Linked DNA regions of Rattus norvegicus. The protein of the gene in region 2 interacts with the protein of the main gene of each other region in a biochemical or structural test. Links are inferred from orthologs where the notes say so. Each region holds a gene or a part of one and is shown on either strand. Other genes may lie near its edges.

Evidence for each region.
Region 1: the proteins of Xiap (region 2) and Casp9 form a complex in vitro, tested with the Homo sapiens proteins (12 studies listed by BioGRID and IntAct, with this or other methods). The link is inferred for Rattus norvegicus from reciprocal best matches to the Homo sapiens genes XIAP and CASP9.
Region 3: of the proteins of Xiap (region 2) and Pten, one has a biochemical effect on the other in vitro, tested with the Homo sapiens proteins (2 studies listed by BioGRID). The link is inferred for Rattus norvegicus from reciprocal best matches to the Homo sapiens genes XIAP and PTEN.
Region 4: the proteins of Xiap (region 2) and Ube2m form a complex in vitro, tested with the Homo sapiens proteins (2 studies listed by BioGRID). The link is inferred for Rattus norvegicus from reciprocal best matches to the Homo sapiens genes XIAP and UBE2M.
Region 5: the proteins of Xiap (region 2) and Htra4 form a complex in vitro, tested with the Homo sapiens proteins (2 studies listed by BioGRID and IntAct, with this or other methods). The link is inferred for Rattus norvegicus from reciprocal best matches to the Homo sapiens genes XIAP and HTRA4.
Region 6: of the proteins of Xiap (region 2) and Htra3, one has a biochemical effect on the other in vitro, tested with the Homo sapiens proteins (3 studies listed by BioGRID and IntAct, with this or other methods). The link is inferred for Rattus norvegicus from reciprocal best matches to the Homo sapiens genes XIAP and HTRA3.
Region 7: the proteins of Xiap (region 2) and Htra1 form a complex in vitro, tested with the Homo sapiens proteins (2 studies listed by BioGRID and IntAct, with this or other methods). The link is inferred for Rattus norvegicus from reciprocal best matches to the Homo sapiens genes XIAP and HTRA1.

The regions. Positions count from the first base shown.
Region 1 is NC_086023.1:159,390,437-159,394,946, reverse strand, and holds the start of Casp9 (caspase-9), read right to left. Parts: upstream 2,874-4,510; 5' UTR 2,834-2,873; coding exon 2,702-2,833; intron 610-2,701; coding exon 210-609; intron 1-209. UniProt on the Homo sapiens protein: Involved in the activation cascade of caspases responsible for apoptosis execution. Binding of caspase-9 to Apaf-1 leads to activation of the protease which then cleaves and activates effector caspases caspase-3 (CASP3) or caspase-7 (CASP7).
Region 2 is NC_086039.1:125,790,846-125,794,712, forward strand, and holds part of Xiap (E3 ubiquitin-protein ligase XIAP), read left to right. Parts: intron 1-799; coding exon 800-842; intron 843-2,685; coding exon 2,686-2,886; intron 2,887-3,867.
Region 3 is NC_086019.1:240,085,100-240,088,966, reverse strand, and holds part of Pten (phosphatidylinositol 3,4,5-trisphosphate 3-phosphatase and dual-specificity protein phosphatase PTEN), read right to left. Parts: intron 3,078-3,867; coding exon 2,839-3,077; intron 1-2,838. UniProt on the Homo sapiens protein: Dual-specificity protein phosphatase, dephosphorylating tyrosine-, serine- and threonine-phosphorylated proteins.
Region 4 is NC_086019.1:82,735,295-82,739,716, forward strand, and holds the start of Ube2m (NEDD8-conjugating enzyme Ubc12), read right to left. Parts: upstream 3,005-4,422; 5' UTR 2,432-3,004; coding exon 2,323-2,431; intron 1,327-2,322; coding exon 1,232-1,326; intron 1,138-1,231; coding exon 1,099-1,137; intron 1,006-1,098; coding exon 902-1,005; intron 597-901; coding exon 533-596; intron 446-532; coding exon 305-445; 3' UTR 1-304.
Region 5 is NC_086034.1:73,713,953-73,718,287, reverse strand, and holds the end of Htra4 (serine protease HTR4 precursor), read right to left. Parts: intron 1,404-4,335; coding exon 1,238-1,403; 3' UTR 566-1,237; downstream 1-565. UniProt on the Homo sapiens protein: Serine protease.
Region 6 is NC_086032.1:79,317,411-79,320,225, reverse strand, and holds part of Htra3 (serine protease HTRA3 precursor), read right to left. Parts: exon of another isoform or gene 2,426-2,815; intron 1,686-2,425; coding exon 1,637-1,685; intron 325-1,636; coding exon 229-324; intron 1-228. UniProt on the Homo sapiens protein: Serine protease that cleaves beta-casein/CSN2 as well as several extracellular matrix (ECM) proteoglycans such as decorin/DCN, biglycan/BGN and fibronectin/FN1.
Region 7 is NC_086019.1:194,969,364-194,973,230, reverse strand, and holds part of Htra1 (serine protease HTRA1 precursor), read right to left. Parts: intron 1,888-3,867; coding exon 1,693-1,887; intron 1,228-1,692; coding exon 1,195-1,227; intron 1-1,194. UniProt on the Homo sapiens protein: Serine protease with a variety of targets, including extracellular matrix proteins such as fibronectin. HTRA1-generated fibronectin fragments further induce synovial cells to up-regulate MMP1 and MMP3 production.

The DNA.
Region 1 (4,510 bases), on a different chromosome or scaffold from region 2:
ATGAGGATACAAGTCAGACGCTTGCTTCTCACATGGGCTGTCAGAATTTCATCTCCTATAGACTGATCGGAAGAGTCCACGTCTCTCCTGTGAGCGTTCATTAAGACAAACGTTACATTTAAATCCTGAATCTCAACCGGGGCAGTACCCAGAGTCACACCCCAGTAACCTCAATGCACCCACCTGCCAAACATTCTCTTGATACTCACAGACATCATGAGCTCTGCCAGAACCAATGTCCACCGGCCTGGGTGTTTCTGGTGTGAGAACCTCTGGCCTGAGCCGAGTAGGCCAGAGCTCTTCCGGCCCCAGCACCACTGGGGTGAGGTTTCCCAAGGCAGGCTGAGATGGGTCCAGCTTCACTACTTTCTGCTCCTTTGATTTGAGTCCCATTGGTCCCAGGACCACAGGCACCAGGTGGTCTAGGGGTGTAACAGCTTCTGGATCCTGCTTGGCTGCTTGCCCACTGCTTTGCAAGAATGAAGCCAGAGAGCCTTGGCCTGTGTCCTCTAAGCAGGAGATGAAGCGAGGAAGGGCCTGCCTCCCTCGAGTCTCAAGATCTATGACCAGCTGCCTGGCCTGATCCCGCCGAGACCCAGAGCCTGCCCGCTGTTTGGATAGAAAACCAGACACTCATTATCCAGTGACATCTACAGTCACCCTACCTCCCGCTTCTCACCTAGCCTCTACCTTGTGAGTGCCGGGACTGCAGGTATGTACCACCACCCCTGGAACAAGTCTCTCCTTTCAAACAGTCTGCCATTCCCAATACTAGGTCCGACACTGCTCTGACCACACTTAGCTGGAGAAGGACAGAGGCTGCTGGTGCCTCCCCGCGCAGTTTGGCTTTTGATCCCCCTTAATATGCCTGTGGTAGATAGACAGAAACTAATCTAGCAGTGTACTGAGTTCATGTCCCTCTGCAGTCTTTGCTTGTCAATGACACCTACTGTGTGTTTGTCCAGCTCTGTGCTAAGTGCTAATTAGCCCTACTAAAAGTAGCAAAATGGTGGTCAGTAGTTTGGACGAGGTACTTCAAACTTTCTAAACTTGTTCCTAACATTAAAATAAGAGAATTAAATGTAGAATTCAAGATCTCCAACATCTCTGTTTTTGGAGGAAAAGAAGTTTCTGTTGGGGGGGGGGGACTTTCATATTTGTGTGGGGGAAGGAAAAGTTCTCAAGTAGCCAAGATTGGCCTTCAAGTTCCTTCATAGCTGAGGATGACCTTTGAACTTCTGCCTCTCCTGACTCCAGAGTCACCAGGCCTGGTTTTATAGGGCTAGGGGTTAGACTCAGGGATTCACGAATACTAGACATGCACTGTACCAAATAAACTGTATGTCTAGCTTCTTGCTTTGGTTTTGCTTTTAAACATTTACTATGTATGTATGTATGTAGGTAGGTAGGTAGGTATATGTGTGTGTATCTAGATGTATATGTGCCAACTGTGTGTGCCTGGTGCCCAAGGAGGCCAGAAGAGTGTGTCAGATCCCAGGGACTACAGTTATAGTTGTGAGCCACCATGTGGGTGCTGAAAACTGAAATCAAAGCTCTTAACAACTGAGGCAGCTCTCCAGCCCTTGGTTTTGGTTTCCAGAGACTCGATCTCAAACTCTGTATGTAGCCAAGGATCCCCTCCAACACCTGATCCTCCTGCCTCTACCTCCTGAGGGCTGGGATTCCAGAGGAACAAACCATTCCTTTCAAACAGCCTGCCACTGCCAACACTAGGTCGGACACTGCTCTGACCACACTTAGCTGGAGAAGGAAATACGACAGAGGCCGCTGGTGCCTCCCTGCACAGTTCGGCTTCTGATCCTCCTTAATATGCCTTCTGGAAGACTAGGGCTTTCCCTTCAAACCACTTTCCTTGGCCAGCATGGGCCCCTCCGAAAGTGTTCCTGAGACTACTTTTGTTATTATCTGGTAGTTAACCCCATGACTCTACACCACTTTCTTCTATTTTCCTTCACTAGACCAGACTAGGTTCCAATCCAGATGCTGGAGACAGCTTTCTAGACAGTTCCCCAGGGCCTGACACTCATATCCTCTCAAAAAGAAATATTCCCTTTTCAGACTTGCAGTGAGGCATCAACTGGAGCAAAGAAGCTCAAATGTATTTTTTTTAAAAATCAAATGTTTGATTGTATTCTTCGGTGGTACCTGTATCAATGTCCGTCTTTTCTGAAATCCTTTATAAAGCATGCACTTGGATAAAAGCCCAGCTAAAAAAAAAGACATGGGTCCTGGGGCTGTGGCCCCACAGAAGTGCTTCACCTTGGTTATCTCATTCATCCTAGAACAGGATGACACCGTTGCATTTCACAGCCCAGGAAACTGAGGCTCAAAGACGGCAAGTGACAAGTACAATGAGCCAGTATAAACCTAAAGTGGGTGTTTAGGACCCTTCTACAGAGAGGCTAAACTACTAACAAGGTGTGGGTTACAGTGGCATTAGCGAGCACTCCACAAAAGAGGTGCTTGGGTTCTTCTGAAGGATTAAAAGAGCTGGATTGTGGAAGGTTTTAAAAATGGAGTTCCCACACCATGGTTTCCCAGGGCCTGGGTTGCACACCGTGCAAAGCGGGAGAAAAGGGCGGGAGCTCCGTAGCGGTGGCTTCAGTGAACCTCTCTGCGACCTCCCAGTCCCTACCGGCGCCGTGGGAAAAGCGGCGGACACAAGGGAGCGGGGGAGCACCTGAATATCCTCGATCATGTCGCGCGTGAAGAGCTCACGACTCAGCAGAGCGTCCCACAGCTCCGCGACTTGCAGTTCGCGCACAAGGCGTACCCTGCATCGCCGCAGGAGTTGCCGGTCAGCCTCCTCCATGGCTAGCGGATTGCTGGACCCCTGGTTCCGTCCGCTTCCGGGCCTCGGGTCCCGCCCCGGCACCCACGCCCCGCCCCCACATAGCTCCTCTAGGGATCACGCTCCGACCAGTGGTCACCGCCCCAAGGCCGGTCCCTCAAGCTCACTCGGCTCCACCTCCGCAGCCACCTCAGCTCCGAAGGCCCCGTCACCGCTTCACCAGTCCTCCCACCTCTCTCACTCCCCCCACGTCCCCCCTTCCCCCCACCCCCACCCCCCGCGCTCTCAGGCCACGCCCCTTCGCCACGCCCCAAGATGTCCTTGCTTCGTTCCGCCTGCTGGCGCTGCACGCAAGCCCCGCCCCGTCACACGCCTCATATAAGACTCGCTCTTCCTTGCCTCATAGACCAGCACTCCGGCCCTATGGAGTTCCTTCGCTCCGCCCCGTGGCCCGCCCCCTTCTCTGCTTTTGCCTTTGTCCCCGCCTCCAGGACCCGCCCCCATCTTGCTATTCCAACTCTCTCCTAGTCCGGCACTCAGGCCTCACCCCACCTCTTTCCCTGCAGCGCTCTCTCCTCACGCCCCTCCCTCGCCCAGCTCTCGCCCGCCTCTAACAGCGGCCAAACGTAACGTTGCTCCGCCCCCCATGCGACCCACGTGACTTTCCATGCGGCCTTCTCCTCCCACACTCTCCCCCAGGGCGCCCCTAGGGTTCCAAACCCCAGGTTTGCCTTGCTACCTTCCGCCCATTTGCTGGTTCCGCTTAGCAGCGATTGTTCTAACAAAGTTCACTGGTGACCCTATTTCTACAGATGCTCAAAGGGTCGCGAGAGGAAAAGGAAGAAACCATGTCTAGACGTCTTTCAAGTCCTTTGCGGGCTGTGGCTTTCTTCTAACGCCCTCCTCCGTTGCGGCTAGTAAAACCTCGCCTCCTGCTTTTTCAGGCTATCCTGCCTCAGCAAACTAAGCCCACAGACTTCCATCTCGCTCTCTTCTCTTTCCCTCCTCAGCACCTCCCACATAGAAACTGCCAGGAATCTAGTCCTCTGTTCTCTCAGTTTTGTACCACTCATTTCCACGACTTAAAAAGTAACTGAACAAGGCTGGAGAGATGGTTCAGTGGTTAAGAGCACTGGCTGCTCTTCCAGAGGTCCTGAATTCATATCCCAGCAACCACATGGTGGCTCACAGCCATCTATAATGGAAGGTGATTCCCTCTTTTGGTGTGCATGAAGATTCCTATATACATTAAGTAAATAAATCATTTTTAAAAAATAATTGAGCATCGTGCTAGCCACTTACGGTGTTGTCCCAGCTAGCCATGTTATTATCCCTGACATATTCCCGATAATAGTTATTCCTTGCTGACAGCTGTGGACATGTGTTAGGGATCTCACAGCTTGACCCCCAACAGAGGCATCTGAGATTCAAACCCGAACTGGGATAGACCCTTAGCCAAGAATCCACCATGGAATATGTCAAAAGATGATATTACACTCGCTTCCCGATTTTAGCATCAGGCAACGCTTCTTTCCATTAGATAGGATGCACATTCGGATGAGCAGCTGAGGTGAATTTACAAACAGGAAGTCTGGGGAGAGCCCAAACAAGAAACTCGAAGGGGAGTAGTTGCCAAGTCAAGGAGATTCGCCATGTTGGCTAAAACTGGCTGGTTTGGGGATTGGGCAGTTATATCTC
Region 2 (3,867 bases):
TTGCTCTTTGGAGGGTGATTCAATCTCTGGGAGCCCCCAAGGGTCTAGGTTAGTGGACTCTGTTGGTCTTTCCTGTGGTCGGTCTCTCTCTCTCTCTCTCTCTCTCTCTCTCTCTCTCTCTCTCTCTCTCTCTCTGTGTGTGTGTGTGTACATACGTGTACACACCATGTGTTGTACCTGAGGAAGCCATAAAAGGGCATGATTTGGTATTAAAATTACAGGCAGTTATAAGCTGCCCAGTATGAATTCTGGGAACTGAACTCTGGTCTTCTAGGAGAGCAACAGGTGTTCTTAACTGCTAAACCATCTCTTTAGTAACCCTTTAGCGGATAATACTTAAGATTACAAAAATAAGGACAGGGATATACATGGGTTTTACTTTTTCTGGCTAGCATAAACAAGCCCCTGGATTCAATCTCTGATAAGACAAAAAAATTTAATAATATGTCTGAATTGACATATAGGACAGTGGCAATCATAGCATTAGTAAACTGAGAAGAACCTTGGACTGTGATGGGAGTCTAGAACTGACATGATGGTTCTACCATTAGTTTCTAGTTGAGTTTGTATTTGTTTCCCTCCGGGGAGTCATTTGATCTCATTGGCCCTTGGCTTCTTGTTTGTAAAGGGGCGATGATTAGATAGTCTTGCCTTCCTTCCATTCTGTTGGCTGGGCTCTTATGGATAGGCATGTTTCGAATTAGAATAAAGCCAATTTGTTTTATGTTTATTAACTTTTCAAATTGAGATAATTGCTTTTTGCTAAAGTGAAATCTTACCATTCATGTTTCTATTTTAGGTAAGAACTGCTGAAAAAACACCATCAGTAACTAAAAAAATCGGTAAATATGTTTATTAAAAATCTGTTTAGTTTTGTGGCCAGTTTATTATAGTTTGTTTAATGAGGCTGCTATAAATTTAAGAATTTAATTAAGTGCTTATAATTTTATACCAGACATTTTTGTAGTGAGTACATTAATAGAAAGCCAGGTGCTAGAGCGCTTGCCTAGGAAGCGCAAGGCCCTGGGTTCGGTCCCCAGCTCCGAAAAAAAGAACCAAAAAAAGAAGAAAAAAAAAAAAAAAAAAAAAAAAAAAAGAAAGCCAGGTGCTATGGTGCAAATCTATAATCCGAGCACTGAGGATGTTGAAGCAGGAGAATCCGGAACCTGTGGTCAGTCTGGGTTGCATGGCATGGTTTTAAGAAAGGAAGGAACGGAGGGAGGAAAATGTATTAAAGCAACAAAGGTATTAAAAGTTTAGATTTTAATTTTTCATTCATTTATTTATTTTATATGTATGGGTGTTTAGCCTTCATATATGTGTGCCTAGTTGCCCCAGAAGCCAGGAGAGGTATCAGATCCCCTGGAACTGAAGTTAAAGGTGGTTGTGAGCCACCATGTGAGTGCTGGGAACTGAATTCAGGTCCTCTGGGAGAGCAAGTGTTCTTAGCCTCTGAGCCATCTCAGTAGTCTATCTACTGTGTAGGCCGGACTGGCCTGGACCTCTCTCTTTCTGCCTCAGTCTCTTAAGTGCTGGGATTGAGGGAGTGTACCCCCATATACAGCTAAAGCTGATAGTGTGCTGGCAGCCGAGCCCAGTGAATGCCAAGTACTCTGAGCTGCAGCCTCAGTAGTGTTCCTACAGTTCCCTTGAAGAAACAAAGAGGTGATGTGATCTGCCTACTGCCGTGTTATCATTTTGTTTTGTTTCGTTTTGTTTTGTTTTTAGAGATAGGGTTTCTCTGTGTACTCTGGCTATAATGAATTTGCTTTATACACCAGGCTAGCCTCAAACTCACAGAGATCTGCCTGCCTCTGTCTCCCAATTAAAGGTATATACTATTATAAATTAGTAATAGAACTAGCATTATAAACAAGGTCTTCTAAATCACATAGCATATTGTAGATGTAATTTTTAGTGGGGTTATGTATGGTGTTTTGGTGGTAGTGGTGTGGAACAAAGTGTTTCATTGTATCTCAACTGTCCTAGAACTCACTTTGAAGATCAGGCTGGTCTCAAATTCCCAAATACCTTCCTGCCTCTGCCTTCAGAGTGTTAAAATTAAAGGTGTACACCATAACACCTGACACTGGAGTTCTTTTGGAGTTTCGATTTATTTGTCTTTTGTGGGGTTTGTTGATTGTTTTTAAGATCTGCTTTTTCAATTGAAGTGGTATGTTTCAAAGAAAGCTTAATTTAGAGTATCTGATGAGTCCCTGTTCCCTAATGTTGTAACATCATCTGTTTTGTGTGTCAAGGATTAGAAAGCAGGAGAATACTACAGGTATTTATAAATATGCTCGAAATGCGGGGCTATGTTGAATTATTTGGAATGGATTTGGTAACAGGCATAAATAACAAAGTTAAAGAAAGAATTTTCCCTAGCATACTTTTTGTGGTTTCTCAAGACAGGGTTTCCTGGATGTATTTGAACTTTCTCTGTAGACCAGGCAAGGCTAGAACTCAAAGATCTGCCTGTCCCTGCCTCCTGAGTGCTGGGAATAATGGCGTGCACCACCGCTTTTCTTCTTAACTTTGGGGATCAAAACCACAACACCACATATAGTAGGCAAACACTACCACTGAACTCTTCAGCTATCTTAAGTCCCTTAACTGTTTTACTGTTCAGTCATGTTAATGAAAATACTTGTATTATGTTCTTTCTCCACCCAACTTTGATTTCAGATGATACCATCTTCCAGAATCCTATGGTGCAAGAAGCTATACGAATGGGATTCAACTTCAAGGACATCAAGAAAACAATGGAAGAAAAGCTCCAAACATCTGGGAGCAACTATCTATCACTTGAGGTTCTGATTGCAGATCTTGTGAGTGCTCAGAAAGATAATTCGCAGGATGAGTCAAGTCAGACTTCATTGCAGAAAGGTATACATTGCTTGTTTCTGTCGGGAAAATCACCTTGCAGCCCATTCATTTCCTCTCTAATATCCCCATGGCATTAACACTTTGACTCTTTTATTATGGTAAACTTGAAACACAAACAGAAGTGGAAAGAAGAATGGGTTCGCTTCAATAATAAGCAACTTTTTTGTCATCTTAAGTCCCATCTTCTCTCTTTTTGGCCATAGTAAATGTCTATTTTGACATATATTCAACATAGAAGGGTATTTGTACATGTGCCCTTAATGCTGCTTCCTCAGGCTACTATAAGAAAATTCCACAGAACTGGGAAAGTCCAAAAGTAGATCCCCTGCAGATAGTTGACTTCCCAAAGTAGTGTGTATTTCATGCTAAAAATTCCCCCAAGAGTTCTCATGCTTATGACTTGATCAAACCTAATTGTATTCATGCATTGCTTAACAATGAATATATGTGTTGAGACATGGGTTGTTACATAATCTCATCATTGAATGAACGTCATCACTTATACTTACACAAACATAGATGGCATGTGTCCCAACCACTTGTTGTGGCCTCTTATCAAGTTTTATTAACTATATGTTATGCTTTCATATAACTAGCAGCTTAGGAGGTTGATTCATACCAACATCCTCACAAACCCGTGATGCATTATGCTATGACATTAGAAACAATACATGTTCTCTGGTACCAAAGCATTGTCCACTAACACTTGACTCTTTCCCAAAGCCTTTCCTCTGAGCATCATTGTGGAAGGTTAAGCTTGCAGCATGTGAGCGTAAGGAACCCAAACATTCATTCCCTATCACTTTGTTATCACATTTGACAAAATGAACTCTCAACCTCATCAGAAAGCTAGTTGGTTTTTTTTTTCTTCTTTTCGGAGCTGGGGACCGAACCCAGGGCCTTGCGCTTCCTAGGCAAGCGCTCTACCACTGAGCTAAATCCCCAACCCCCAGCAAGTTGGTTTTAATACCCCTTGTTGTT
Region 3 (3,867 bases), on a different chromosome or scaffold from region 2:
TACTAAACCAACACAATCCATAACTATACTCTAAATTTATCTCTCTACCAACAGATAAGTGTAGTGCTTACCCTCATCAAGGAAATTTCTCTTTGTAGCACGGAGAACGTTGCAGAAAACCACAACAGTTCAAAAGGCAGGGTTGTGGAGTTCCAACAGAAACATCCACAACACAACTCCTGCACCGATGGCTCGGGGATCATTATAGAAGGGTTGGAGAGACTGTAAGAGGCAGAGGATCCGAGTTTGCTGTGCAACTGTCTACTTGGAATGTCAGAGGCTACCCCATAAAGTCCATCAACATGACTACCAAACATGAGCTGAGTGAGGAGGACAAGAGATGTGCTAGGATGTGAGAAAGCTGACCAGGCCTCAACCCTAGATGAAAATCTGCTGGTGACCAATTGGTTATCTAACACCAAATGGTAAGCCCTAAAAACATACCATAGGTTGTATTACATACATACATATATAATATACTCATAATATAATTTACTATAGTCTCAAAAATTGTATTAAAATGTCTTACTGTAAAGAAGTTCAATAAAAATGGCTAAGAACACTCCCTGTCCCCAAGAACCCTCCATACTCTGTAGCTGCTTCTCCTACAGCTCCTCTGGTTTTTCCTGCACTAGTAAAGGTGGATGACCTCTCTGCCCTGGCCACTCACTGCCACACTGGTTAGCACAAATTACATTAGTCCTAAGAGACTATTTTCTATGGTTGTGAAAAGTACCCCTACTGATGAACACAAGTCTCAAATCATGGACTATGCAAGACCTGTCACAAAAAAACCTGCTGCTATGAAAAACCCAAATTCATGAGAGCCAAGACATTCACAATCAAGAGCTTCTCGAGAGGCTTTGTAAAAGACAGGAGCAACTATGAAGCTCTTCACTGCACACAGGTCGTCTGGCCAGACAATGCTGTTCTGTTGGTTAACGCTTCAACCTGAAAACTAAAAGGGACCATAGTCTTTTCCTGCCCCACAGTTAATGATCTTGAAGACAAAGAAACTAATACATGCCCATGTCTAGTCTTAAGAGATTTTATCTGACAAAGCCTACTTTAATTGGTCAAAAAACTGTGTATGTTCCACATTTCTTTCATACGTGATAAGAGTTTTCATAACTTATTTTCACCAGTACTAGGGTAAGAGCACTCTGGAGAGCAAGGAAGACGAGCCAAATAACAACAAGCTTTCTACCTGTTTTGAGCGTTGTTTAAAAGCCGTCCTCTCATAAATCTCACTACTGAACAGAACCAACCCATATAGATACCTGCTGTTCTCAGGTAAGGGGTACTCATTTCTTAAATGGGAAAAATGGGCAAATGGAAGCTACCAATGACAATTTATAGTTATATATAAACTACACACATGTTGAATAACAGAACATTTACACATTTCGTCAGGAGTCAGAGTTGAGGAATCTCTAGCTTAAATCTGATTTTCTAGCTCATGACTTTTTTACTGCATTAAAGATGTAATTTTTTGTGAACTCCCATCAATAAATAGCCCTTTGATATCCTTATTCAAACTCAAAGAAGTTACAAAGACAGGATTTAAAAACGGCAGTTGTAAAAGAAGTGCAGGACCCAGGACCACTGCAACCATAGACCTTAGCATGATGTGCATGGCCACCTCTAAAGAAGAGGAAAAGGAACAGAGTAGAAGAGGGGAAGACAGAAGGGGGTGGAGGCAAAAGGAAAGAGAGGAGGGGGTAGGGCACAAATACAAATTTAAGACTAGAATCAAATTCCAAAGCGTCTTACTCCCCAGAGCAGCCATGTCCAACCCTTGACACTGCAAACGGATGTTGTCACTTACAACTTCTATAAAAAGATTGCAAAACAACTCAATGATTAATAAGTTTATGATCTTGTATTGGGCCACATTTACTTCTATCCTAAGCTTTTCAATTTATCTGAATATAGGCACTGTCCTTGGAGAAAAAGAAACATGCAAAGATTCTTTGTATTAAATACTTTTCAATTTCCTATCTAACAAAATGGGTCCTCTGAAAAAGCACTACAAGAATTTGCTTTTGTTTTCAATTGTACTATTGACGTGTGCCAGGCAAAACACATCGCTCGCTTTCAAGTCTTTAGTTTTCTGAATAACCAATAGCTCTTTGATTGGTTATCAGTGAGTACCCCCATTAGAAAATGACTTTATTTAACATCAAATTAAAAACCATGCTTACTAGGTAATGGCATTCAAGTTGTCACCAAAATGCATTTTGTTTCCAAGTACACCTCTCAAATATCATGATAATTTTTATTAATATGTACTTTTATTTAATTAAACTCTATAAAGATCCAGTATAGTTAGCAGGTAAGTCTGCTGGTGTTGTCAAAATACAGCAACAGGAAGAGAAAAACTAAATGAACGGATACAAGCTTTCAAAGTGTTGGGCACATTTCTGTTTTCTGGAATGGTGGCACTATAAAGCCCTCCAGCCTCAACTCTATGGGGAGATCCTATCTCATCAAAACAAAAGGATGATTTGAAAAAATAGGTATTAGCTCAATAAATGGAGAGATGTACAAAAAAGTTCTATTAGACAAGAAAAATGAGACTTAGACACCTACAGCACACAGATTAGCAGAAAGAATCAACAGCACATAATCCTGTGTGCCTAGCTACCCCAGGTAGGTCTTGGATGTTCTCAGTACAGCTAAGGAAGAGGGCTGAGACTCCAGGGATGACTGATACACTAAGTAGATAGATACAACTATGTAACCACAATGTAACATTTCTCCAAGTGTCACACATGCACTGTAAGTAGAGTCAAACTTGGTCCACAGAGGAAAGGGGGTGAAAAATAAACAGCTTACCTTTTTATCTCTGGTCCTTACTTCCCCATAAAAATCCAGGGCCTCTTGTGCCTTTAAAAACTTGCCCCGATGCAATAAATATGCACAAATCATTACACCAGTCCGTCCTTTCCCAGCTTTACAGTGAATTGCTGCAACATGATTGTCGTCTTCACTTAGCCATTGGTCAAGATCTTCACAAAAGGGTTTGATAAGTTCTAGCTGTGGTGGGTTATGGTCTTCAAAAGGATACTGTGCAACTGTTGCAAAAAGATAATCCCAGTGTAAGTTAAATGTATTTAAAATATAGGTTAACTTTAAAAATATTACATGTAAACTTACTGGTGCTCAGGGAATTTTAATTTACTACTTACTAACTCTAGTTTGAAAGACAGTCTTTTACTAATGCTTAAATATATTCATGAGACAAGAATAAACAAGCATTGTGTGCCTCACTCCAAGAGTGAAGAATCTGTACATGAAGGAAACCCGTCATAGTCTATCGTACAGCTGAATCCAAATGGATGTCCCCCAGGCCTCTTGCCAAGTAGTAACTTCTAACAGGAGCAGTAACAGATCTTAGCATCATCACCAGACATGCTCTGAAGAGAGTATCGGTTACTAAGAGAGTCAACTATGGAAAAGACTGACTTTTCTACCTAACAAAATTGCCCGGTGACTTTTATTTTTAAAATGGTCTCTCTCACAAATATTCTAATTGTATATACATGGCTTGAGATTAATCACTCACAGAAAAACATTGATGTAAAGTTTACCAAATTAGGTTTCAGATCTTTTTCACATGAACTAAGAATCTAAGACATCTTTGTTCTCAACAGTCAGAGTTGAGTTTTTTAAGGCAAGGTGATATTGTCCAGAAGCAAGACTTCAGTTTTGTCCTCACTACTGGTTTTTAATCTTACCAGCATCTGTTTCTACTCTACCCTATTGAGATCCTTAAATCCTGACCTGAACCCTAGGGATGTAACTCAGTTTGCAAAGTGCTTGCTTAACAAGAGTCTAAGCCCTGGGCTCCTCCCTGCTTTGAGT
Region 4 (4,422 bases), on a different chromosome or scaffold from region 2:
CTGGTGACCCAGGCCCATTGCCCACTTACCCCACAGTCAAGAGTGGGGGGTTGGACAGCACCCAGCGGGAGGGGGGGCGCTAAACAAGCCAATTCATTTCCCATCGCTGAGCAGGTCGGGGGAGGCAGCACCGACCATAATCACGTGGTGGTCAAAAAAAATAACTAGGGGCAGGTGACAGGGAGGAGAGGCAAGGCCAAGGCAGGGGCCAAGGCTACCCCACACACCCTACCTGGGCCCCCAATAAATATTTGCAGGGGATGCCTGGGCCAGTAACCCTGGCAGGGATGGGTAATTGCTAACCCTATTTCAGGCAGCGCTCGAAGTAGGTGGACCCGATGTAACCACCTCTCATGGAGCGCTGCACGTTTTGTTCAAACAGCCGCCGATTGTTCTGCAGGACCTCGGCAGCCTCCTTGTTCAGTGGGTCCTCGGGGTTGGGCTCCTGTGGCCAGTACAAGTGGAAGTCAACAGGCAAGAGAGGCAGAGATGGCCAACAAGCCCTCAGCCTCAAATGTCTATGCCTACTTACCAAGAAGAGATACTGCAGGCCATAAATTATGGAGTTTATCGTAAGGACTGGCTTCCAGTCCTCTCTGTGGGCAGAGAGCATCAAGGTTATCAGGGGCTGGTGAGTGGGAGGTTGCCACAGGCCCTGCTAACACGAAACAGGTCAGGCCCATAGAAGGGCCATTAACATTGAAGAGTGAGGGGGAAGATGTGGAACAGGGCAGGTCATGGAGAAAGCCAAGGTCAGGTCACTAGAAAAACAACTTGAAAAGGAAGACAGAAACCCAGACTGACCATAAAGGCAAGGACAGAGATGGATGCAGCATCCACAAAGGCTGAGAGGATTCCTAGAAGGCAAGCCTTGGGAGGGAAAGGAAGGCAGTGCCCTCACCTGAGGATGTTGAGGCAGACGTTGCCCTCGAGGTCAATGTTGGGATGATAAACCATTGTTTCACACTTCACCTTGGGAGGGTCATGTGGGTAACCCTGTCCCACCTGGCTCCAGAAAAAAGAGAAATGAGATGGGAGGGTGTTTTGGCTATGCCCCAGTCTTCTCCACAGAGCCACCTTTGTACACTTGAAACTCACCTTAAAGCTGAACACAAACTTGCCGCTCTTGTAGAAGCCCTGGAAGAGGAAGGGGGAAGAATGCATAAAGATCCTGCTCTTAGGGGGCCACCCCTGGACTGTTCTTGGGAATCCTGCCATGTTTTACTCTTACTTCATCAGGACAGATAACCAGTTTGAAGTTGAGGAGGTCGTCTGGGTCTGAGAAGCTGATGTCACACGTCTTGGGCAGGTTCAGCTCGTTAATGTCTAGGTTTGCACAGCAGGGAGAGGGAGAGAAAACAGGTAGAAGAAAGGAGGTAGGTCTGGACATGTGTCAGTAGAACCCCCAAGGTCTCCTGGACCTGAGGTGCTCTTTGTGTGCTGTGCTTTAACTCACTCCATAGGACTAACTACTCTTTCCACTTTTCAGTCTCTACTCTTCTGGATACACGGTATCCCACATACAAGCATCTTCAAGTGTAACTGGATGCCCATCTCTTGGGAAAGGGCAAGCCTTTATCCCCCAACCCCAAGTCCTCCGCAAGTTCCCACAACATAGTCCCCAAGAACCTTTACTCCCATAACCCTTACTTCCAAGAACCCCTGAGTACCTTAAACCTGAGGTTCTCTATTTCTAGTCACTATCTCCATTCACGACTGTTTACCAGTTCACCACTATTCAAGGACCATGACACCTCCCCCCACAACACTAAGTTCAACCTTCCCATCAAGTATCCAGCCTCCACTGTCCTCCCTCTTCTCCGGATTACTCCACGTTCCCATCTGATCCTTGAGATTTCTAGCATGGTAGCTTAAATTGACCCAAACTCCTTTTTTTTTTTTTTTTTTTAAAGTTCCTGTCATTTTCTCTACCCCCCTTCACCTCAAACTCAAAACCACTCTGCCTAAACCCCTGGACTTGAGTCCTGGACCACCAGCCCCAGTATAAAACACTAAACCGTCTCCTACTTATCCCCAATTCGTAACCTTCACAATCTTCACGGCCCGTCACCCCAGAGCAAAGTTCCCCTCTGACTCTCCAAACTATACCCCTCCCCTAACAGATTCCGGGTCCCTAACACTCCAGGCCCAAATATCCCAACGCCCCATACTCGGCCCCAATCTCTGACCCTCCCTAGTGACCGCACCCCCCCACCCCGTCCCGTATCACAACCCTCGAACTCTGACCCTCGATACCAAATATCAGCGGTGGCAATTTCACGCCACGGTCCCTGACCTCGAACGCAGGGTCCCGACCCCTACCCTTCTGAATCCGCAGCTGCGCCGCCGACGCCTTCTTGCTGCTGCCCTTGGTGCCGCCGGCCGACTCCTCCTCCTTCTTCTGCTGCTTCAGCGAGAACAGCTTGATCATCCTGCCGCCGCCGCCGCCGCCGCAGCCGCCGCGGGGCCCGGGACCCCGGCCACCCGGCCCCCCGCCGCCGCCTGCGCCGCTTCCGCTCCTCGGACCCGCTACCGCGGCCTCCTCCGCTGCCGCCCGCCCGGCCTGCCGCGCTGCTCCGCGCCCACCGCACGGCCCGCCTCGGCTCCCGTAGTCCGGCTCTGGCCTGGCTTAGCACCTCGGGTGTGTTCGGAAGTGCTCGGGAGGACTCGGCTATCCTCGGCCCCGCCCCTGCTACGGCCCCCGCGCCCTCCTCCCCCTCTTCCGCTCGGGTCTTGTGAGTCCCCGCTGCGGCTGCGGACGCCGGCCTTTACCGGTCCGCCGCTCTCCCGCCTACTTGCTCCCTTTGCTAGGAGGCTGCGGTGAGGTGGAAGGAGGAGGCGGCAGCCGCGCTTGCGGCGGCAGGGTACCGCAGGGTACCGGTGGAGGCTCAGCTTCCGCGGCAGGCGCGGCTTCGATGCGGAGGTCGGCAACGGCCTCGGGCACCCCGCCGCTTCGGCACTTTCCGTCGTCTGTCCGCTTCGGTTTTTCCTGGCTCGGCTGCGCTCTGCGCCTGCGCAACTCTTGCAGCGCCCCCACCCCACCCCCCTGCTTGCTCCTCGTTGTAGTTTGAGGTTCGGTTTTCTTCGGTTAAGCTCGGGTATTTCCGTTTGTGGAGGTGACTATTTGGCGGTCCATCGGGTACTTCCTGGGATGCGCACCCAGGAGAGTAGGAAGCAGTGCTTGCAACCATTTTTGAACCAGGCAGGTAGTGGCTGTTTGGCTCTTGGTGGTTCTATTCAATATTGCACTTATGCGGATCTCAGCGGGACCAGGTTACCAGGTTAGACTGGATCCTTGCCCTCTTGAGGGCTCAGCAAAGGCAGAACCTGGACGTTGTAAGGAACGTTGCCTAAGGGTGCAGAAGCAAGCTCCCCTTTAATCCCACCGCAATCCCAGATTCAGATTGATGGGAACTAGTTTAAAACTCGAATTGTGGGTTGGGGATTTAGCTCAGTGGTAGAGCGCTTGCCTAGCAAGCGCAAGGCCCTGGGTTCGGTCCCCAGCTCCGAAAAAAAGAACCAAAAAAAAACAAAACAAAAAAACAAAACAAAAAAAAAAAAAACTCGAATTGTTCTGGAGGCTTGAGGTATCAAGTTGGCTTGAGAACAGGCGTTAAGGGCTGGAGAGATGGCTCAGTGGTTAAGAGCACCAACTGCTCTTCCAGAGGTCCTGAGTTCAAATCCCAGCAACCACATGGTGGCTCACAACCATCTGTAATAAGATCTGATGCCCTCTTCTGGTATGTCTGAAGACAGCTACAGTGTACTCATATATAATAAAAATAAATCTTTAAAAAAGAGAGAGAGAACAGGCGTTCAGGGACACCCTAGGCAACACATCGAGACCCTTGTTCCTTAAATTTCTGTTGTGTAACAGACGTGAGCAACCGTGTAGTTCTAGGGTCCGAGGTTGACGTTGGTATAGGTAGGGCTTACGACTGCGATCTAGAGACCAGCAGAAGTGGCACTGTGCTTCTTGATTAACTTGTTCAGTGAGCTTGCATCCAACCACAGTGCTTGGGAGGCAGAAGAAAATAATAGCTCAGGATGGGCCAGTGACTTTGGCTGTCATCTAGGAAACCAGAAGCCAGAGTCGCTGTTGAAAAACATGACCGGAACAGGTTAGGACTATGTTCTGCTCTTATAAAGGCTCTTTGCTGACTGACAGCGTTTGCACCACCCAGCATGGCACAGTTCTACATTCCTTGCCGGCTAGCCCATTTTGAGACCCAAGACAAATCACTCTAGAACTGTTCATTACTGTTTTCTCAGCTATCCTACTCTAGGCTGATTATTTTTGTATATCTGCTGTTTTTCTGGCTTGCTTTCTTCCAGATAGAATCCATCTCTGTAGTCCAAACTCAGCATGTAGTCGAGGTGGATCTTGAACTAACGTTTTTTCCTGTTGTCTCTGTTTCCTGA
Region 5 (4,335 bases), on a different chromosome or scaffold from region 2:
CTATTAAGTATAACATAAATGGCAGACAGACCAAGAGGCCTGTTCTGCATTAGCCACAGGTTCTAGACACAGGGTAGACCTACTCCACGTTCATCCCCACAGTAACTGACAGAGACCAACAGTTCCGGTACAGTAAGACCTGGAAAAGTCTGCCTCCGCATCCCAGGTGACATCACTGTCCTCACGTTACTAGAGATGACAACAACACGTTCAAGAACCACAGAAACCTCAACCCCGCTTATGACAGTAACAGTTGGAAGGCTCAACTCATAATTCCTACACACTTAGGCAATCTCTTTAGATTAATGGTGAAGAAACTCAACCTCCTTGAAAATACACACATCAGGCTTCACATGCGATTTAAGGAGACCTTTGCCTACTATGCACTGGTCTCTAGTTTGATCCCAGCACCCTCTCGACCCCGGAAGATAGTAAACTAAGATAAAAATGTTGCCCAAAATAAACTACTTAAGCCCTTGGCAAGCCCTACCACAGCTTACTAGGTAAAATTTCCCAAGCGTACACAAGCTTCATTAAAAGAAAGAACCTAAGTGAAAAGTCTGTAAATGGTTCAAAAAATTGTTTTAATAGAAGACATTCTCAGAAACACCAGAGGTCCAGGATAGTTTCTACCGCTAAAATGGTCATATTCCTGTGTGGTGGTCTGACGTCATCAGTTGTAATCTATCTTAGAGTTGACGACCTTTCTATCCACAAACCCTGGCCCAAAGTGGATATACCCCGGGAAATTCAGCATACAGAGGGGTGTTATTTAAAACATGATTGCCTCTTTACTCCAGATTCAGATCTAGTAGGTAGATTGTTTGTACATGTGTGTGACATATCAGTTAGTGGCTATATAGACGGTAAGTAAAGCACCCTGTGAAGATTTAGTTAGGAGTCTCCTGTTTTCCCATTCTTACTGTCTTTACTTTTTCTCTGATCACCATAGCTGCGGCCACTTGAGTCACGAAAGTTTTTGTAGTAGAAGAGCATGCTTAATCCCTCAGGATCCATGAGAATGTGTGTGTGTGTGTGTGTGTGTGTGTGTGTGTGTGTGTGTGTATACACGTGTGTACACATGTGCACGAGTGTGTGTATCACACACACATGTACTTATACATTTAAAGCATCCACTTTTCTTGATACCCAGAAGAACCTGCCATCTCTGGTTCGTCTTCGATAGAAACCAGGTAATATAACTGGTTTTGCTAGGCAGTTTCTCAAAGTAAGGTGCTTAATTGATTATTTCAGGTGTGACTGTCAGAAACAAGGTTTGGCTTCCTCGAAGAACAATGATGGAGAGAAAGGCATTGTCCTTAACAGCTTCAATGACATCGGTTGTGGTCGTGACAGGCTGCCCGTTTATGCTGACAATTACATCATGGTCTCTCAACCCCGAGCTGAGAAGGAGAAAGAAAAGATGATGAAGCCAGGAGCAGTGACGCACACCTTTAAACCCAGCATTCAGGAGGCAGAGGCAGGTGAATCTCTCGAGTTCAAGGCTAACCTGGTCTACAGAGTGAGCTCCAGGACGGCCAGGGCTACACTACAAAAAAACAAGAGGAGATAAGGAAAGCATAAGAAGAGTCCTACTCATCCCCATTTGGAGTCAATCTGTCTGTCTGTCTGTCTGTCTGATTCTTCCCTACCCCCATACTCTCCTACTATTTTGCTGACCACTGGAAAAATAATCCAAGAAGGCAGGACCAGCCTGGACCCTTCTAGGTGCAAAGACTATTAAGGATGTGCTATGAAGCCAGCTGGAGGAGAATGATCCTGTGTTTCCAGTAATACTAATGTCTATAGGAAGCTAAGTCCTTTCAAGCGTTGGGTTGTGTTTGGAATGGACACTTTAGCATCTAATGTCTCTTTGTCTCTGGCCTGTGTTAGCCTCCCACATTACTAGATACACCAGCAACAGTGCCAAGCCCAGTGTTTTCCCAGGAAGTTGTGCTTTGATGAGTCTGCCTGGACAGCCCATCCCAGTTTCTGGAACTGCACTGTGACGAGCTGCTGTGTGTCCCAGATGTTATGGTCCCAGTAAAGCAAAAGCCACTCAAGCTTCCAAGTCCAGATGTTTACAGCTCTGACTCGAGGCTATAGCTGTATTCAGTCTTCAACACACTGCCCTCACATAGAATATATATTCCAGATCAGTGGCTCTCAACTGTCCTGACGCTGTGACCCTTCAATACAGTTCCTCAGGTTGTGGTGACCCCAACCATAACATTATTTTTGTTGCTACTTTCTAACTGTAATTTCGCTAGTTATGAATCATAATGGAAATATCTGTTTTCCAATGGTCTTAGGAGACCCGTGAAAGGCCGTTTGCCCCCCCACCCCCGAAAGGGTTGAGAAACTGGTGTTCTAGGTACAAAATCCAACTCCAAAAGCAAAGAGCAATAAATACAGACAAGCTGGTCAATTGAATAAAGATAAAATCCAGGAGATGCCATTTAAGGAAAATGGGGAGCTCAAGAATAAAAGAACAATGAGTGGTTCCCAAGATAGGTGGATTTTGAAGAACGTGAAGGGTCAGGGGCATAGCTGAGTGGTAAAAGGTATGTTTAGCATATACCTGGCCCTTAGCTCAATGGCCAGCACCAAAGGTGGGGCGGGGTGGAAAGGTAATACAGTGGACTGTGAAGAGAAGGAAGGATAAAGCTGCATGCGAGAAATCCTGAGGAACAAGGGCAGTAGCAGGCGATGACTCAGACTCTGCAGAGAAAGACAATAACTCAGCAGCCGTGAGCAGGGAAACGGAACAAGAAAGAAACCGGGCTGGGGCTCGGGGCCTGCTGTGCACTGAATATGAGGAAGTAGGCTCACACAGAATAAGTGGCCTTTGCCGGTGGTGTCTCACAACTTCCAAGTAAAGCGGGATTCAGTGCTGAAAATTCATTTTCTTGCCAGTGACCTCAGTGTAGCTCAACACAGCTGCTTTCCCGTAAAAACAAGGACTGGGTCATGTCATAAGACTCCTCAAACAACTCTGTAAAAACACTCGGGTCCTGGGACATAATAAATGTTCCTGAGTACCAGCTGCTGTCACTGTAATTATTAGCAGTTATTAGATATAAATGGATGGAAGCCAGCGAGGGTGGATGTCGGGCTGTTGGAGGCTTACAGCAGGAATTCTTGCTTCAATCAACATGTGTATAACCTATCTGGGCATCTGTTAAATAGGAAGACTCCTAGAGATGTAGTCTAGTGCTAGGACAGATGTTTAGTACACATAAGGACCTCTATTTGAACCCCAAAAAGCAAGAAGTAAAGTTAAGGGAAGTTGGGGAGAGAGGGAGGGGAGAAAGAGAGGAGGAAGAAAGGCAGGAGATGGGAGGAAGAGAGATTTATCTGCCACAGTTCACACACCTAACCCCAGCACTTGGGAAGTGCAAACAGGAGAATCCAGAGTTCAAGACCAGCACTGAGACAGAGAGAGAAAGAGGGGAGTGGGGAGAAGGCCACCCATTCAGGGGTGGGGCTCCAGCCTGCCTTTCTGACAACATTGCTACTGCTGCCACACTTTGAGAACAACTCACTGAGCTGAGCTCTCTGGCTTTGGAGCAAAAGTTAAAATAAGGAGTTAGGGGAGGCACAGGGTAGGGTAGGGATCCCGAGAGTCTGGGAAATCGTATGGCATGTCATATTTAGGAGCAGGAGACCTGACACTTAGCTATGCACCTGTGATTTCTTCCAGGTCTACAAGAGTTGCCAACTGGTAAACAGACCGCTGAGCTCTTGAGGAACAGTGAGCAGTGATAAAGAAAGGGCAGGGCCCAGGAGAAGAGCATTTGCAGAACAAGCTGCCCCACCCTCACAGTAAATATTCTAAAGCAAAACTGAGGACAGCTGCTAAACCTTCCGTGGGGCTGTTCCAGCCCATGATCTAGTGACACAGGGGTTAGCCACAGCAGTTCCCAGCACCATTCCCACCTCAGAGAAAAGGGTGTTTGAGAAGACCTACTATGCACTAAGACGTCTGACCTGCTGAATCCTCTCTACTTCTACTGACTGAAAATTACTGAACCGTTCAAATTATTTAATTATTTATCATTAGTTAATAGCTATCAATAACTGAATAACAGGGACATTGTGGCACATGACTATAATCCTAGCACTCGGGAGACAGAAGTAAGAGGATTACAAGTTTCAGGCTAGCTTGGGCTGCACAGTGAGGACATGTCTCAAACATTCAAAGGGAAGATCCAGGAAAGGCTCAAAGGGAAACATTCTCGTCAAACATTCTCATCAAACATTCTCATCATACATTCTCGTCAAACATTCTCGTCATACATGCACAAGATCAGTTCGGGTCCCCAACACACATGT
Region 6 (2,815 bases), on a different chromosome or scaffold from region 2:
GCCTCTGTTTCTCAAAGAGAAGATCCCTCTGCGCCAAGGACAGGCGTGGCCAGTGATCTGAGAGACAGTTCATCCCGTGGTTCAGAGGAGCGACCAGACTCCACAACTCCTTGCCAGGAGACTTGAGGTCACATAAGGTCATTGAGGAAGCCCAGTCCAGGCCCCAGCACACCCTCCCCTCCCCCATGTATGACTGCCAGCAACCCTGCCTCTGCCTGTGGAACATACCTCTGAGAAGGTGAGTTGGGAACGACCTCTTGAACATATATTCCACTGCTCACTGCTGGAAAATCTGGGTTGGCAGTCTTCAGTTCCTCCACCAAACTGGAAAGACAGTCCTGTGTCAGCCTCTCAGCCTGCAGCCCAGCTCCCTGGCATGTGGCTGCCCCTTCCTGCCACCACCCAAGCTAGACAAACAACCTCTTGTGAGTTCTCAGAGAGCCCTGAGCCCCATGAGATGGAACTGCTTAGTAGCCACGACTGGCTACAAGTGTGGAGATGGGGCAGCTAGATTGGGAGGACAGACTATAAAGGGTGGCTGAAGAAGGACAGATGGGTGGGTGGCTGGACAGAGGTATTGGGTGGAGAAATGGAGAATGGTTCAGTCACTGAATGGACTGAGAAGACTGGAAAGATGGCCAGTGGATAGATGAATGGTTGGGGAAGCACACGACTTAAAGATGAGTTGGCACACTGGTCCTAACTGCAGATTGTTTAAATTTTGCTCCTTAGATTGACAGAAGAGGGAATCGGGTTGGTTGGTCAATATCTCTGAGTTATCCCCAGAGCTTCACCATGTAGTAACTTCCTTCATAACCCTGGGTTGGACTTTCCTTCCCTCCTTCCTCCCTCCTGTCCACCCCCTTCATTGTCACTTTCATCCTGTCTTTCCAGGCAGCTGCTCTGTTCGGAACCTCTACCAGAGCCAGAGCCAAGAGGTGAGTGGGGACACAGCCAGCTCCCTGGAACTCACAGTCAAGATGATCGGCAGGCAGAAAGGACCCCTGACAGCCATTACAACACTGTGGGTCACCTCTGTGCTAAAGGGTGTGCAAACGGGGGGGGGGGAGGCTGTCTTACATGAGTGGCCCGTGGAGATGGGGAAATATCCACTAGGATCTCAGAATATAACCATGTTTGAAAATAAGGTCTTTGCCACTCTAGTTGGTCAGGGATCTTGAGATGAAGTCATGGACTTGGGCAGCTCTCATATCCAGTGACTGGCAGCGTGGGGCTCAGACACAGGCTGGAGGAGGCCTGTGGAGAAGGGGAGCGACGGGGGCTAATGCAGCCTGCTGAGGGGTGACCATAGCCAGGAGGAGTCAGGAGACACAAGAAGAAATAAGACTGGAATCTCAGAGTGTGAGACCTGTGGGCACTTGATGTCAGTCTCTGGCCTCCAGAACTCTCAAGTAGTATGTTTTGGTTGTTCTAAGCCACCTAGTTTTAATTCATTATTGTAAGAAACCCAGGAAGCAATTCCAGAGGCTCCCTGGAGGAGGGTTGTCTGAATAGAGTCAGAAGGAATCCATCAGGCAGTGGTGGTGGGTCTGACCTCTCTAGCACCTGCCAGCAGCTGGACACAGTAGTCAGTATGTGGAAGGGGTTCATGGGAGGACAGGGGAGCGTCATTCACCTTGGCGTGATGGTCCGCATCCGGATGCCAATGAAGCGCTTCTTCCAGTCTGGAAACGGAACACAGTGGCTCAGTTAGGCTACATGGTCACTGCCCTTGAGAAGGGAACCCAGAGGAGACTCAACAGCCTGGAACCAGCAGCCCACCCCTGGCTGCTTTGGCGGTGAAACCATGGGGACAGGTTCTCAACACAAAGCAGGGCTTGACACATTTTGGTTTTTCATTTCACTAAGATTCCCTGAGCATGGTGGGTTTAAACCAGCAATCAATAACACCAAGAGTCTCTGAAATCCAGATGCCCAGGAAGTACACAAGAACAAGCCATCCTCAGAGAGGAAAGCAAAAGGAGAAATGAGAAGGTTGTTTCAACTACATAAACGAACATATTCCTAACCGAGGCTTTCAGGGCACAGAGGCTGTTCTCAGAAGCAAAGAACACAAGTTAGCACCCATGTCAGAAAAAAAGGACTCAGGCAGGTGAGAGGGCTCAGCAGGTGAGAATGTTTGTGGTACAAACCTGGTGACTTGAGCCTGATCCCCAGAACCCACATAAAGGTGGAGAAAGATCCTACTCCACAAAGTTGACCTGTAAGCCTCCACATGAATGGCATGACACAACCCCCTCCCCCAGAGTAAAATAATAAAATTTTAAAGAGATTTATTTATTTTTATTTTATGTATGCAAGTATTTTGTCTGTATGTATGTGCACCACATATTTGCAGTGCCCATGGAGACCAGAAGAGGGCGTCAGACCCTCTGGAACTAGATTTAGAGCTGACATATGGGGGTGCTGGGAACTGAACCCAGGCTCTCTGTAAGGCCAATAACTGCTCCTAACTGCTGTGTCATCTCTCCAGCCCCGATAATATATATATTTTTTAATTTAAGAGGAAAGTCTCAGACCAGTGGCCTCAGATTCCTCTTAGAAACAAGAAAAAGGTGGCCACGTGAAACTCAAAGGAAGCAGAAGATGAAACTATGAGTCAATGAGACACAAAATAACCCAGCAAAGAAATAAATGAATCAAAAGCCATTCTTCTGAAATTAATAAAGTGAACCAATCATCAGCCAGTGTGATCACGAGGAAGAGATGGATAGGTGTCAATGTCGGTGAACTGACATCGTCACTGTCAAGGATTAGAGAGGAGGCGTTGCTGCAGGCCTTCAGACATCACAAG
Region 7 (3,867 bases), on a different chromosome or scaffold from region 2:
AGACCCTGCCTCACTGAATAAGGAGAAAAGGGAATGAAGACAGCCCCTCATCAACCCCGGGCCTCCACAGGGCCTCCACAAATACACACATGTGCACAGGCAACACCCTCCCCCTCCAGTGCGCGCACACACACACACACACACACACACACACACACACACACACACACTTGGGGCCACATGCATGCAAATACTCATATATACAGGCACATGGGGGAGAGCAGTATTTGGGCTGTGTCTGAGAATCAGGAGGGCTGGAAAGAGAAGGGTCAGGGATAAAAGGAGAGACATTTGTTGGGGCACCTGGGTAGTGCCACCCACGCTCAGGTGTGGATGGAACAAAGAAGCCTCAGTGGAAGCTAATAGTTGTCTTATTGCATATATTGCATATATCAAAGTCCACCCTATCTTCTCTTTTCATAGGAAGGATGTTTCCAGAATCTCTGAATTGCTAAGGTGACTATCCACCCTCCCTTCCTCCCCTATTTCCAATGACCGTAGATGCTGGCTTGAGCCACAGGCCTTACTCCCAGCATCTGCCCCAGGGTATGGCTGGAGCAAGTTAAAGATGTGGCTCTTCCCTAAGAAGTTTCTGGTGGCCCGATGCTGTGCTGACAAAAAGGACTCTGTAAACTTTCAGTATAAATTGTTCCTGATGTGCTCTGTACATATCAGCTCCTGACACCCAGGGGACCCAGGAGGACATACTATTGGGTAGCCTCAACTTATACTCTCTCAAACAACCCCCAAGCTCTGGCATTCTATGACCTGAAGCCTTCAGCTTTATACTGAAGTCTCGGTTGAGTGAGACATCTGTGAGCAAACAGGTGGCTCCCCGTCATACCCACAGGCATTCAGGGAGAGTTTTGGCATGGGCACGAGCCAGGCCAGCTCGTCTCCACTCAGTCGCCCTCAGGGCTGAAGGTAACTTTCTGCAGCTGGCAGTGCCATGTGGACTTTCAGTCCCCTTTCTGCCTAGACTGGGTTTGAGCTCCTTAGCATCCACCCATGGCTTGAAACACCAACGTGTCCTCTGACCTTACTGCTTCCGGAAAGGGCTGGTGGGGAAAGGTGCAAAGAAACGCTCACATGGCTATCAACTGACTGCTTGTTCTGACAAGCTCACATGCAAGGGGAAAGCAAAGGTGTGCCCACAGAAGAAAGAAACACGGCGTAGGTACTGGAGAGCCTTACCAGGTTTACTAACGGGCCTCCGGAGTTTCCATACTGAAACGAAACAGAAGGCAAAGGTTGGCTCTGTGTCATACCAACACCTAATCAATGTCTCTACCCAGATTTCAAAGCGCTGATGAAGCAGCCAGCAGGCTGGGCTTCCCTAGGCTTTGTCTAGGATCACCTAATTTTAACTGAAGAAAAGGACCTTGACCACTTTTCACGAAGCTTGGGGTGTGCCATAGTGAAATGGTTTAGTTCTGAGACCACGGTAAGCAGCTAACCCCACTTTTACCTCCTCCTCCGATGAGACTGGCCACCCACTGGCTTCAGGACCCCATAGTTCAACTCTGAACAGCTCCGAGAGGAACATTAACACCTAATGCCTAACACCAGAACATCTCAGATGTTCTGGGAATTCATGCAGTCTGTGAGACGGTTTGGGAATAGGAAGAAGCCCAACTTCCTCTGGGAAAAACTCGTCCCCAGCCCAGCAGGCAGAGGGAGCAGAGGGCTCACATTGATGATGGCGTCTGTCTGAATGTAGTCCATATCGGAGTTCCGGAGCCCCAGTTCTTTGCCGCCTCGCTGGGTGGTGCTGACGATCCCAGTGGTGACCGTGTTTTGAAGAGAGAAGGGGCTTCCGATGGCAACCACAAATTCTCCTGGCCGCAGCTCGGAGGAGCGGCCAAGCAGCAGGACTGGCAGCTTACCCTGTAAGCACAAAGGGAGTCATTGCTGCACAATTCAAATACAGAGAGCGAAGAGCAGTCCCTAGGGACTGAGCTTGGGGTGGACACTCCTCTCCTGAGGGCCAAGCCCCTGCCATAATCCACACACAGGCCCTTAGCGAGTCAATGAAATGGAAGCGCTTGTACCAGGGAAAAATGGGAAAAGGTGATAGACAGTTTCTAGGCCTCACATTTTGGAACGATCTGTGCAGCTGGAGAGAGGACAAGAGGAGACAACTTTGGTTTAAGGCTTAAAGATCAAAGTCCCAGACAGGGATCCTGAGTCCGTGTGCCTTAGGGGAAGCAAGGAACCATGGGTCTACTCTCCCACATGAATAACCTTCCTGAGGCCTGGGATGTGGGGAGCCCTGAGGCAGAAACTCGCACTGACTTTCTTGTGCAGCCCAGTGGTGGTAAGGCACAAGGACAAGCAAAGGCTGGCAGCACCCAGGACCCAATGGCGGACTGTCTCTCCTGTGCACACTGGGAAAATCCCTATCACTGCATCTGCCCCCAGCCGATGCAGACTGAGGATTCAGCTGAAGACATCCTATGTCCCACGTCCTATGTCCCACTCCCTCCTGATACTGGGCAGAGTCCGAAGCCCTAAATAACTCCTCATAACAAGATAGGACCATGGAGGTTAAAGGGCTGGGGAAAATGACTGGAGGCTGCCTTCTTCCACTGAGATGGCCCCAGATCCTGCTTTCTTCTTCCCACATTGCCCAGAATTCCTGAATTTTCTATGCATTGCTCATGGAATACAAAAAAAAAAAAAAAAAAAAAAAAAAAAAAGTTAGTCCTGGATGCCTGCTAAGGGAACTCTTTATAGTCATTCAATTTGAGAAAGGATAAGCTACAAAAAAAAAAAAAAATCCAGTGGGTGGAGGTGGGATGGTGGGATGGGTAGCCCAGACAAGAGACTTTATCATCCTCTCTGCAAAGAGAAATGGAACTGCTGATGAGCTCGGACAATTGACTAGCAGATAAGGGAGGCCCCAGACCCTGGGTGACCTGAGATACAACAGAGATTTCACTGTACTCACTTACCCCACAGCACCATGATACAGATTTGAAACACACACACTCCCTGCACGCACACATGCACTCATGCACGCATGCACATGGCCAGTAAGACTAGCACTGCCTACGAAAACATGTCGGAAGACACAGCACAAGCTCTCACCAGCCAGGAGCCTGAGAAGCCGCACCTCTACTCTCAGATACCACACACCCCACAGGGCACCAGCCATCTGTGGCACAGGCTGCCAAACTGAAACTCTGCATGACAAGCACGGACGCCTCGCCTGAGAAGTGGGATAAGAGAGCCCACCAATCGCACTGGTCTGTTATGATGGTGATTTAGGATAACGATGAATTAGGAGCCTGAACGGTTCTCTGGAAAGAGCCTACTCGGCTGTTTACTAGTTTTCAAATCCCTGAAAATCCATTGAAGGATTCCAGCAACTGTGCTGTGACAAGCCAGGGTGTGTCACCTTTCCAGACACAGTTCCACACTGGCTATGACCCTTTCACTTTAAGGTCACCTGAGGCCGGGGCCTATGGCATTCCCTACGCAGACCCACTCGGCATCCAATGGCACGCAGCAAGCTCAGTGTGACATGTTTATCCTGGGTGGGCGCCAACAGTCCCTGCCAGCAAGCTCTGCCAAGAATGACCTCAGCCATCGAGGCAGGGTGGGGCAGAGTCTGGCTGCTGATGAGTGCTGGCCACACTGGGGGAGGCCCACCAGGACAGTACCATTCCTTTGGGGCCTGGGGCTGGCTGGAAATCCTATCTTTGAATCTTCAGGGATAACTGTGAAGGACAGGCAAGAGAGGTGGCTACAGCCTGCAGCAGGTCGGCCTGGACATCCGAAGAAACAGAACTACACAGATAAGAATCAAGCTTAGGGGGTTGGGGATTTAGCTCAGTGGTAGAGCGCTTGCCTAGGAAGCGCAGG